Linked DNA regions of Neurospora crassa OR74A. The protein of the gene in region 2 interacts with the protein of the main gene of each other region in a biochemical or structural test. Links are inferred from orthologs where the notes say so. Each region holds a gene or a part of one and is shown on either strand. Other genes may lie near its edges.

Region 1 (3,860 bases), on a different chromosome or scaffold from region 2:
ACATGATCGCTGATATCACCGCTAGAAGCCTTTTCGAGTTCTCGTCGGTGTAGTTCGAGTATTCGTTGCTCGCCCGTGTATGGCAGTAGACTTGGGTCGACGGTAGTGCTTGGTGGTTGTACTGGTACTGGTGCGGGTGCTGGTGCGGGTGCGGGTGCTGGTGCTGGTGCTGGTGGTGCTGCACTTCTTGGTGGCTGCTGCTGCTGCTGCTGCGGGTGACGACTTTGTGAATGTTGACTTTGTGGATACGGTAGTAGTGGTGGTGGTGCCGGTTGCTGAAATTGCTGATATTGTTGGTGTAGATGGTGTAGATGGTGCAGATGATGATGTGGATGTTGATGTTGACCACCACCACCGCTCTTTGGTGGTGTTGCTGGTGGTGGTGGTGGTGGTGGTGGTGGCGGTGATGCCGACCCCTTTCTTCCTTCTTGACCACCGGCCATAGTATTTTCTTGCTCCTCTTGGGATGCTAACGAAACAACAACGACTTCAGATGTCTTTACTGGGCGATGATAAGTACGGATGGTCATCTTTTATCTCCGTGAGCGACGAGACGAGACGATAAGACGGGAAGGGAAGGGAAATAAGAATGATAAGATTGTGGCTTGCAGGTCCGGTGTTTCACTGTGCCGTCCGTAATGGGATGCGCGGCAGGGAAGGGCGGTTGTAGATTGCCGTTAGTAGAGGTAGTGTAGTCTCGTAGTGTGTATGTAGGTAGACGGGAGGGAGGTAGGTAGTTGCCTTGGTCGGTGTTGGTTAGTATCGATGTACCACACACACACAGGAACCGGCAATAAGTCAAAACAGGGAAGTAGTAGGTAATTTATCAATGTAGTGTTACCGGCGGTACAAGTAGTAGGTAGTAGTAGTAGGTATGTGTAAAAGAGCGGGATGGAAACAACACCGACAACGGATGCCCGACAACTCGACGGAATCGAACCAAAGCAAAAGAGGAGAGGGGGGTATCCATGCCTGCCGTGACTACCTAGCATAGTAGCAGTAGTCTACACTACACATCACAGGCACAGGGGGGGATGATTGGGGATGAATGGGCAAATGGGGTAAACTGGCGGGCATCCGTTGCAACCCATTTCTTGGGGTACATGAATGACCTGACAGCCTCGGCTACCTGGCAAGGTCCAAATGGCGGCGGCGGCAAGCAAAAGCAAGCAAGCAACTACACTAGACAGCGACGGGAGCACCCACAGGCCTCCACTGCGCTGCCCGACTTTCAGCTGTCCACTCACAGTGCTACCAAGTGCCACTTTTGATGCGTCGCGGCATCCACTCCTTGGCCCCGGTCTGAGTCCCCCCCCCCTTGTTCGAACTTCCAGGAGGTCGAGGTCCAGGTCCATCTCGCCCCGTTTCTTTCAATTCATCCCAATTATATCGTGAACTTGACTTGACATCAACAAATCCATCGATGGAAACCACGACGGCGATATAATACTAGTAAAACGTCACACCGACCCCCTATCACTACGCGCGACACTGGAACATACCGAAAGAGGAACCTCGAACTCACCCCCTCTCGATACAACCGGCGGGAGCCTATCCCATCCCATCCCATCCCGCCCCCGATAACCACCAGACCGTAACAATACCCAACCGGGCACCGTCGCAACAACCATGGAATTCGTCACCGCCCTCCGCGGCACCTTCGACGACGGCAAGCCCTCCCTCTTCGAGCTTCTCTCGGAACAACAACTCGCCTCCCTCCTCCCGCCCACCCTCCGCTACCTCCTCACCGTGCTCACCCACCGCTACCCGCGCCACCTGCTGCGCATCCTCAACTCCTTTGACGAGCTGTACGCCCTCGCGGGGCTGCTCGTCGAGCGCCACTACCTCAAAACCCGCGGCGGCAGCTTCACCGAGCACTTTTACGGCCTCAAGCGCGAAAAGGCGCTGGCCGCCGAGATCCCGCGCGCGGCCTCTTCGGCGCCCAACCTCGTCCGCGACGCCCTCAAGCTCTCCGATGTCGACATCTGGAAGAACCTGGCCGTCATGGTCGGGATCCCCTACCTGAAACGCAAGCTGGACGAGGCCTACGAGATCGATGCGCCGCGCGCCATGTTGGGCGGCCAGTACACGCGGCCGCCGGCAAAGGGGGCCCCGATGAAGGAGCGGTTCTTGTATTACTACCGCTGGTTTCTACGTAAAGTGTACCCGAGCTTGAACGCGGCGTATTACTTTGCCATCTTGGCGTTTAACCTGGGGTATCTGTTTGACAACACAAAGTACCATAACCCGTTTTTGTGGCTGATCGGGACGCGCGTGCGGCGGATGAACGGGGCGGATTATCAGGCGATTGAGGCTCTAGAGAAGGCAGCGGGGGCCGCCGCCGCTACCTCCAGATTAACAGGGGGGTCGATGTTCAGTCCGAGGAATATGAGTCGAAGGCTGATGGGCGGTCTGTCGCTGGTGCTGCCGACGAGTATTTTTGCGCTCAAGTTCCTTGAGTGGTGGTACGCTTCGGATTTCGCCAAGCAGCTGAGTCGCAAGGCGGCGGAAAGCCTGGATCTGCCGCCGCCGACGGTGACGGGGCTGGTGGAGGCGCAAGCGAGGAATAAGCCTAAACCCAAGATCACGAGGACGTCGGAGGATGGTGTGGAGGAGAAGGCGGATGAGGATGATGAGGCAGAGGAGGAGGCTAGCAGCAAGGAACCAACGCCCGAGACGGCGCCTATAGCGGCTTCGACGCTGTTGCCGATTTTCACGGTGCCACCACCCAAGAGATCTGATATGTGCCCTATTTGCGAGGACGAGATCCAGACGCCGGCGGCGTGTCAGACGGGTGTGGTCTATTGCTTTTCGTGCATACACAAGTGGATGAGCGGGACCCATGTCAGGCAGGAGAAGTTCATGACGAAAGAGCGCGAGGGCAAGTGGGAGAGCGGAGAGGGGAGATGTGCCGTCACAGGAAGGAAAGTGCTGGGAGGGACGGAAGGGCTGAGGCGGATCATGGTTTAGCCGGAAAGAAGATATTGAGGATGATGGATTGGCATGAGTTGTGAAAAGCGAACATTAGACATTATTTAATGGTGGCATATAATCTGGCAAGTTGCATAACCAACATACCGCAAACGAACATGTAAAACTGGACATGCTTACTGGTCAGACAATCAGATTCCTCTATCACCTCGTGGTCGATGAAATGTCAACAGCCATCTTCTTTTTTTTTCTGTACTGCCAAACCGGATGGTTCACGTACGAACAACACGAAGCTCATGCAAGAAAAAAAAAAAAAAAAAGGGGGGGGGGGATCAGAATGTCTATCAACACCGTTTCAGTAACTCGATTAATCTACCTGTACGTACTTCGCGAATCCAAAAAGGCAAAAGAAAGATGCGGTTTGTGTGGATCGAACACACGACCTTCAGATTTATGAGTGAAGTGGACTTCAGTCTGACGCTCTCCCAACTGAGCTAAACCCGCTTTGTTGTTGGACTCTAAGTGCCAAACCTTAACTCATATGGTAGCACCTACCACTTTGCCTGCCATGTTGACCAAATTCGCAATGAAAATGGAATTTCCCATCTTCCTGTATGTCTGTCTACGTCTTGCTTGACGATAATTTCTTTCAGATTACTAGCTAGTCAATTATTTGCCGTGATGAGAAGCGCTATCTAGTGTAGTTGATTTTACTTCAAACCCTGTAGCAAGTGGATGGCGATGTGATAGAGTTCGGTAGGTAGGTAGGTAGGTATTATTGCGATGCTTCTCATTGTATAACCATATACATACGACCACCAGTGAATATTCTGCCTTTCTCTGCCTGAAGAACGCTGTCTTGACTAGGTAGCTGTCTATGGAGAGAAAAAGAGAGAAAACAAAGGGGTAATGGAAATGGAAATGCATAG
Region 2 (3,786 bases):
TACCTCCAGGAGTAGAAACCGACGAGGATGGCAACGCCTCCGTGAAGTCTTCAATCCATACAGGGTCTCTGGGCAGGCGGTCTCAGGATGCGTTTCGACATGAGACATCCGTCACTGATTCTCCCCGTCCTAGCTTCAGCGGATACCAGAATGAGCTACAGGCTAGACATAGCTTCTCGGGTTCTGCGACTCCTTCGCCCAGGCAGACCTTCCGTCCCAAGGACCTTGCTGTAGTTGACTGCAGTCCGTTGACCTTGCCTGCTGCTGTGTCATGCGCACCAGTCAGTCCTCACTCGATGACCCCGTCATCAGCCTTCCCGTCTCCCAGGTCTCCCTTATCCTACGACGCCCATCGCATTTCGACGGCACCTTCATCCATCACTGAGGACAATTTCCAGTCACTGCTTATGGGCGAACCCGGACCAGAGGTACGGATCTCGGTGGATGATGTCCCATCATTGACCAGCGGCGACTCGTCAATGACTCGTGAGAGCTTCTTTGCGCAAAACCCTCAGGCTAGGCAGCTATCCTCCAACACGCTGCCTAGGCCTGCCTCGTTCAGTGCCTCTGCCTTTGGTCGAAGGCGATCGAGTCTTGCTAGCCTTAGCCGTCTTGTTAGCAGCTCGCATGGTGAGCGCAGCAAGCTCTCGATGGAGGTTACGGCGACTGATGACGGATCAGAGAAGAAGGTCAAACCCAGCAAGACCAAGCGGCTCGGCCGGTTTGTACAGTTCTGGAAATCAAAGGAAAATTGCGAGGCTTAACGATATTTTTCAGACGAAACTAGCTAGGAGCATGGGTGTCAAGGCTCTTCTGTTTTAATGTGGCGCTAAGTACGGAATTTTGGGGATCTAGATGAGATTTATTGGAGGGCTTTTCGACTTGACGGATAGGGCGTTTTTCTTTTTGACGATAGCACGAAGGACAAGATAACACGAGACGAAGGGGAGCAGCAATAGCAATCTCGGTCACACCAGAAATTTGTCTAGGGGACGAGATGTTGATTTCTCGAGGAATGATGTGGTTAAGGGACATATGATTCAAAGGTGGACGATGACAAATCTTTTTGTGATTCTATGGACATATCATTGCAAATGTCTACGATCGACTTAGGGTGGAAGGTTTTGATCAGGTGAGCTTCAAACGCAACACGATTATTAGGCAATTCAAACCATGATACCATGCGCTTAAAACGTTGCTATTGTTTATGTCGGTGCCTTTCTGTCTGTGTGGTCTTGTCCATTCCATTGGGGTAATATGGATTGCCGTCCCAGAAAACGAATAACGGCACTTCAGCCTCGGCTTCAGCGACACAAAGGGTTCTTGAGTTTCAGCGCGCCGTAGTGACGCCGCCAAACGGGTTTCAACCACTAGGGATCCGCATCTACGGAGCCACGTAGCGGTAGATGCAGCCGCCGGAAACGCCGATGCGCAGCTGGCCCGTCAGGGGTACCCCGATCAACCGCACTGCGGTGGCAGCAGCAGCAGCAGCAGCACCTCTGTGGGCACAGCACTTTGGACACCTTGACATCAACAAACAATACCTGAGCCCTACACGACCGACGATACGCTCTTTTACGAGATCCAGCTACACTGAGTGGTATTGATCACGGTTCGCCCACCCGTTACAGATCGATCATCGAGGACCGTGCACCAAGAGTCGCTTTACACACGGACAGAGCTATACCGATTTAGCGACGACACCACAGTCGGCAACTGCGGTGCGAGAACCATCCACTTCACGGACACGATTTCCAAACGAGGATACGCAAGTCTATTCCCCAAAGGGCTCCCTCGTTTCTCGTCGACCTGCTCTCAGTTTCAAACGCGGGTTTACCTCTGTGGATCATTTATACTTTCATAGCGTACTACCGAGTACCGAACGACCGACCACTAGCACTGGCGCTGGCGCAACTGAAGACTCGACCTTACGGATAGCATTGACGAAGCTTGACTAATCTCGTTCGTTCGTGTCTGTCTTGCTCTTGGATAAACGAGTCGGAATCACATCAAGGCACCATCGGGCAGCTCCGTTGGAAACGCTGAACAAGGAAGAATAATTATCCCTACCAAATTGAGAGGACACTCAACTATCATACAAAGCGCTACAGAACAAACAAACCGGAGTATACGTTACATACACCACAGACAAGGATACACGCATACACAGACGTACACATATATATAAACAATGTCTAACCGCAGCGCAGCCAAGCGCCTAATCAAAGAGCTCACGACCTGGAGCAACATCGAGTCCAAAGAAGAGAAGGGCGTCGAGCGGTTAGGTCCCATCAACGACGATGAGTTGTTGATTTGGGAGGCCGTGATTAACGGGAAGGGGGTAGGTGGTGGTTATGATGGTATGTCTCTTATCTTTGGTTTTTTTTCCCCTCCCTCCCTCTTATCCATCCCCCTTTCCCTTTTCATGTTTACCTCGCCCCTTCTCCCAAAAGAGCCTCCATTGTTAACGATAACACACACAAATCTCCAGAAGGCCGCTGGCTCCTCCACATAACCCTCCCACCGACCTACCCCCTCCACCCACCAACCATCAAATTCATCACCCCCATCGTGCACGCCAACGTAGCCCTTACCACGGGGGAGATCTGTCTGGACTTGCTCAAAGAAGCATGGACGCCCGCTTACAGCGTTTTGGAGTGCGTGAGAGCCATCAGGCTGTTGTTGAGCTGTCCAGGCATTGACAGTCCGCTTAATGTGGATGTCGCGGCGCTTATAAGGCAAGGGGATCATGTGGCGGCGAGAGGGCTGGTGGAGTTGTGGGTTGAGGAAGAGAGGTATGAGGGGTCTTGAAAGAGTTGGGCAGAGGGCAGGGATAGAGGTGTAGAATGTACGGGATGGATGGAGGGGAGAATGTAAAGAAAGGGTATAGGGGGGGGGGGGGGGGGCTGGATTGGATAGCCGTGGGATGGGAAATAGACCATTGGATTTATTTTGGCTAGTAGCTCAAGCGGGCTGTGGAAGCCTCTTACATACGAAGAGCGCTTATGAGTATGTCATGTGGCTCTGCTCCCTCCAGGCAACAGATGATATTTCATGTTTCCAGACCTTATGTTGCTGTTGTAGCGAATCTTCCAACATGCCAGCCAACGCCTGTGGGCTTGGTATAGATCATTCCTGAGATATACGCTTAGATATCAGGGGCAAGTGGTATTGGTACTCGCCACAGCCACGTTGCTGCCATGTATGAACTTGTAGAGATGCACAACAACTGGACACTTGTGCAGTGACTGGTCATGGTTCCTTACTATGTATATACAAAAGAAAGAGACATCGCTCCAAATCATCGGAGATGGTCTATGCTTACTGTATTAGAAAATGGCTACGGTTGTTAGTCACAAAAGAACAGAACAGAGCGATATACCAACCTGTACTTGATGCCAGCAAGGAACCTAACCGCAACCCCTTACTTTTCATTATGCTATTAGTTTAGGAAAGATGAACTTCAAAAGTCCCCTATGTTTCCTCGCCCATAGTCTAGTATATATCGTCAGAAGTCGTCGCTGTACCCTATGTCTTTGGAAACTTGACCAGATAAGGTTTGTTATAAGATTCCTTGCCCCGGTCGCTCAGAGCTTTTGGAGTTAGCAAAGAGCTCTTCTCTCGACAACGAGCAGACAACCTTGATCATCACACAAGGTTGCGTCTGGCACATCACACATCAGACGTGTATTTGAACCGCGCCCTCCAGCTGTGCACTTTTCGCTTCCCACATTCCTTCCCATAACCCAGAACTCATCAAAAAATTTACAAGAACTTAGAAGAACG
Region 3 (3,851 bases), about 2.2 Mb from region 2:
AAACGGATGATCGGGAGAATTGCGTTCCTGTGCCCCAGCAAAGAGGGTGAGATCCCAATCCTTGGCAACGTCCCAGTAAAAGCTGTAGAGTGAGTTGAGCAGACACGCAACAATCCATGCACGGTACAGGCTCGTAGTTGGGGTACCGCTGGTGTTTGCGTTACGCAACATGGCGTTTAGAATGATAACAGGAAACGCGGTCGAGTACTTGGCCGCGTTGGCGAGATGTTGTCCACCCCAGCCCGTGGACTCCTTGAAAGGGGAATTTCGCACGCGCAGATATTCGATAAGACACTGGCGCAGCCGAATAGCGCTTGGTATCGTCAGGAGAAGTGGTACGAGATAGGTGCCGCCGCAGCTGCGATCGGGTCGGTCAGTAGCAGACCCATTCCGCGTGAAGAACATGCAGAGACATATGAACAGGTCCCCAAGGACCTTGGCGTAGCTGGTGAGAACATCAGCCAGCAAGATATCCCCAAACTTTCCATCCTTGGCCTCAGCCAAACCTCCCACACTGACGCGGCGCAGAGTTGCGAGTAGTCGACGTCGACCGGAGTGCGAAACAGACAGTCTTCGCAGGGGTAGCACGAAGAGGGCTGCGGTCACTGCCAAGTTGGTCATGGGAATCCAGTCATAGTCGATAACGCGTTTTGGATCGCGCCTGGTAAACGACCAAAATGTGAGAATCGAAACAGCGGAGCTTAGCGAAAGAAGAGTCGCAAGACGGTATGTCGAGTGGTGGTGAGGGAGCTGGGTTGGGCTCGATCTTCCTGGGTACCGGATTAAGGAGGGGACGTCGATCTTGCGATTATGGAGGAAGTGAAGGTTGAGGCCCCAGCCCCAAACAGCTAATCAACCAGAGATAGTCAGTTTACAACCGTGTATCCAGAGAGCAAACATACGGTAGGAAACTTGTATATACATACCTATGATCACGATGAAGGCAACCCGGTAGGGAAGGGGAAAGGTCAAGCTGAAGGAGTCGAGCTCCGGCTCAACCACGGGATCACCGTCCATTGCGCCAGGCAGCGGTCAATTTGCTGTCCGTCATGGAATGCGGAGAGGGAGAAGTAACAGTTGGACGCAAAGAAGAGTTGATAGGCTTGGGATCAAATTCCCAGCAGTAACGCGTTTGGAGTTTGTCAAGTGTCAAGATGGAAATTTTAATTTCATCTGTATTGTGGTAGCTGTCGCAAAGACACCGGAGTTGCCAAGCCCCTGTCGCGTGCACTCTTTTTGGCTTAGGGAGAAGACCCGACGTCAGTGCAACCCCTGGTCGCGGCCCCGTCCTGTGACAACCCGCTGCATCATCCCTGCCGCTAAAGCCTGGGCTACGACGTTCTGGGCACCCCCCTGCCAATTCCTCAGCTCGCTCCTTGTGAGGAGGAACCACGCCTGGGGCGGCGCCGGGCGTGCTGCCCCCATTAACCCCAAGGACCGAGGTCCATCCGTTCCCGACTACCACTTTCATCTCAGCTTCAACTGCCGCCTGTCGATCTCGAAACATCAAACAACAACTCGGATAATTTCAGATCGAAAAGACTTAATCATCCACTGCCACAGCTTCGACGATTCGACTGTAGGCATACGAGCTCTCCTAGGGTTCGAGAGTTCCCCCTGAATACGTCGACCGTGTAAACACAGCTTTTGACCCCCCCGACTTCGAGCCCACCCGACCCGACCCAAACGACGACATCAATTACCATGTCATTGACGGCCACCAAGAAGCCTCCTCCGCCGCTCACGAGCTCGCCATATCCATTCGCTGCAGCCCCCGACATTATCCGCGCGCATCAAAAAGATGCCTATTTCCAGGGCGTCCTCACTAACCAGCTGACCGACCTTCACCGGCGCGTTCGCGGTGCCCGCTCCGCCCACTCCTGGGCCACCGAAACCCGTACGGCTGCCGACCTGCTCTACCTATGCCTCACCACCCTCCTCGGCAACCGCACCTTAGGCGAGGAGTACTGCGACCTAGTCCAAGTCGAAGAGCCGAGTACGGGCGGCAACGGCAGGATACCAGACACCCAAAGCCCCGTCGAGCCCAGCAGCGAAGCCGGTGGCCCCCGTCTGCCCTCGCTCCAGCGACGAGCCGGCTACATCGTTAGTAGCGTTCTTGTCCCCTACCTTTTCAGCCGCCTGCTGCCCTCCATCCGCGCCGCGCTCCGCAAGCGCCTCCAGGACCGTCTCACCGTGCTTGCCCGCCAGGGCCGCGGCGACACCAAGGGCGCCACCCCATCTACCTCCAACAACAAGGGCGGTGGTTTCTCCACAGTGTCAACGCTTGAGTACCGCGTGAAGCGCTACCTGCTCACACACCTGACTTCCATCACCAGCGGCGCGCACCTGCACGCCTTGACGCTGGCCGTATTCTACTTTTCGGGTGCTTACTACTCTTTCTCCAAGCGCCTCTTCGGGCTGCGTTATGTGTTCACGCGGCGCATCGAGGAGGGTCAAGGCGGTCGCGCGGGCTATGAAGTGCTCGGCGTGCTGCTGGTGGTGCAGATGCTCGTCCGGGGATACCTGCATGTGACGGCGCAGCTGTCGTCAACTTCGCCGCTTAGTGCCGAGGAGGCCAGTACCGAGGCGAGCATTCGGGAGCGCGCCTTTGGGCCGGGCGCTGCGGGCACACTGGATGTGTCGTTAGATGAGAATGCCTATAGCAGCAATAACGAGTTGCTGGTGGAGACGGGCAAGTCGGGTAACCAGCGTAGTTTGGCGGAGATTGGACGGACGACGCACACCCCTGTGCCCAAGGGCGGGAGGGCGAACTACGACTTGGCGGCGAATGAGGAGGTCATGGGCTGGATCAAGGGGAGACAGCAGAGGATGTGCACGCTTTGCTTGGAAGAGCTGAAGGACCCGGCGGCGACCCAGTGCGGACATGTCTTCTGCTGGTCGTGTATTGGAGACTGGGTGCGCGAGAAGCCTGAGTGTCCGTTGTGCAGACGTGAGACGATGGTACAGCATATTCTGCCATTGAGGGTTGCTTAGAGCAGTCCTTTTCTGGCGGTCGGGGGGGACAAAATACTTAATATACGGGAGATATGACAAAAAGCAGGAGTCTTACAACGTCCTCTCGAGAACAGATTTTGGGTAGTATTTGCACATGACAAGGAGCGAACAGTCAACAACTGCGGTTTAGGGATAATTGTATATGCAGCAAGCATATTGCCAGGAGAGAGAGCCTGTTTTCGTACATAGCCTAATGATTGAATGATCCGACATATTCTCAAAAGGTCAGGAACTTTTGACAAGCTAATGCACATATGTTCAAGTATGAAATTGAATTATTCCTTGTCCGATATTAATATTTGGTATTTACTCTACAAAAACTTCTCTTGCTTGATTAATATCGAGTCTCGTCCCGTTTGGGTCTTAATCAAGACCCGAGCAACCTCGACATAGGTCCAAAGGGTCATGAAATACATACACGAGGTGCGAAAGAGAAAATATGACACCTCAATGAAAGCCTCAAGTTCCGACCCATCTTCAAGCATCAAGCCACCAAGGTCGTGGTTGTCGTACTTGTGCTTCGCTGTCCCCCAACAGCTCGTAATCGTGGACGCTTTCGCGTCATCAAGATCGTGGGCACATCATATGCCTCCCCTTCAACAGAAAGACCCATTTACCGTATGGAATGAGGAGAGAGCGACGGCGCGGATTTCGTTGTCGAATCGAGCTATTTCTTTTCGGGGTCTCCTGAGGAAACCCTTTGGATGAATTCTGCGATGGCTTCAAAGTAGCCTTCTTCGAGGACACTCGAGTTATGGTCGCCGTTGGGAAGAGGCTTCCAGATCTTTATCGGAGCGTTGGAGAGATGATAAAGCTGCTTCATATGAGTGGGTCTA

What was found.
Region 1: the proteins of pex4 (region 2) and pex12 form a complex in vitro, tested with the Saccharomyces cerevisiae proteins (3 studies listed by BioGRID). The link is inferred for Neurospora crassa OR74A from reciprocal best matches to the Saccharomyces cerevisiae genes PEX4 and PEX12.
Region 3: the proteins of pex4 (region 2) and pex10 form a complex in vitro, tested with the Saccharomyces cerevisiae proteins (2 studies listed by BioGRID). The link is inferred for Neurospora crassa OR74A from reciprocal best matches to the Saccharomyces cerevisiae genes PEX4 and PEX10.

Annotation. Positions count from the first base shown.
Region 1 is NC_026504.1:5,625,389-5,629,248, reverse strand, and holds pex12 (peroxisome assembly protein 12), read left to right. Parts: upstream 1-1,304; 5' UTR 1,305-1,629; coding exon 1,630-2,970; 3' UTR 2,971-3,359; downstream 3,360-3,860. Other genes in the region: NCU05244 (thioesterase), read right to left, coding at 3-530. UniProt on the Saccharomyces cerevisiae protein: Component of a retrotranslocation channel required for peroxisome organization by mediating export of the PEX5 receptor from peroxisomes to the cytosol, thereby promoting PEX5 recycling.
Region 2 is NC_026501.1:3,007,490-3,011,275, reverse strand, and holds pex4 (ubiquitin conjugating enzyme), read left to right. Parts: upstream 1-1,472; 5' UTR 1,473-2,191; coding exon 2,192-2,360; intron 2,361-2,491; coding exon 2,492-2,811; 3' UTR 2,812-3,249; downstream 3,250-3,786. Other genes in the region: NCU02637 (hypothetical protein), read left to right, coding at 1-764. UniProt on the Saccharomyces cerevisiae protein: Catalyzes the covalent attachment of ubiquitin to other proteins. Essential for peroxisome biogenesis. Required for UBC4-independent ubiquitination of PEX5.
Region 3 is NC_026501.1:5,159,103-5,162,953, reverse strand, and holds pex10 (RING-1), read left to right. Parts: upstream 1-1,431; 5' UTR 1,432-1,704; coding exon 1,705-2,994; 3' UTR 2,995-3,328; downstream 3,329-3,851. Other genes in the region: NCU03278 (protein-ER retention protein), read right to left, coding at 1-848, 927-1,017; bem46 family protein, read right to left, coding at 3,683-3,848. UniProt on the Saccharomyces cerevisiae protein: E3 ubiquitin-protein ligase component of a retrotranslocation channel required for peroxisome organization by mediating export of the PEX5 receptor from peroxisomes to the cytosol, thereby promoting PEX5 recycling.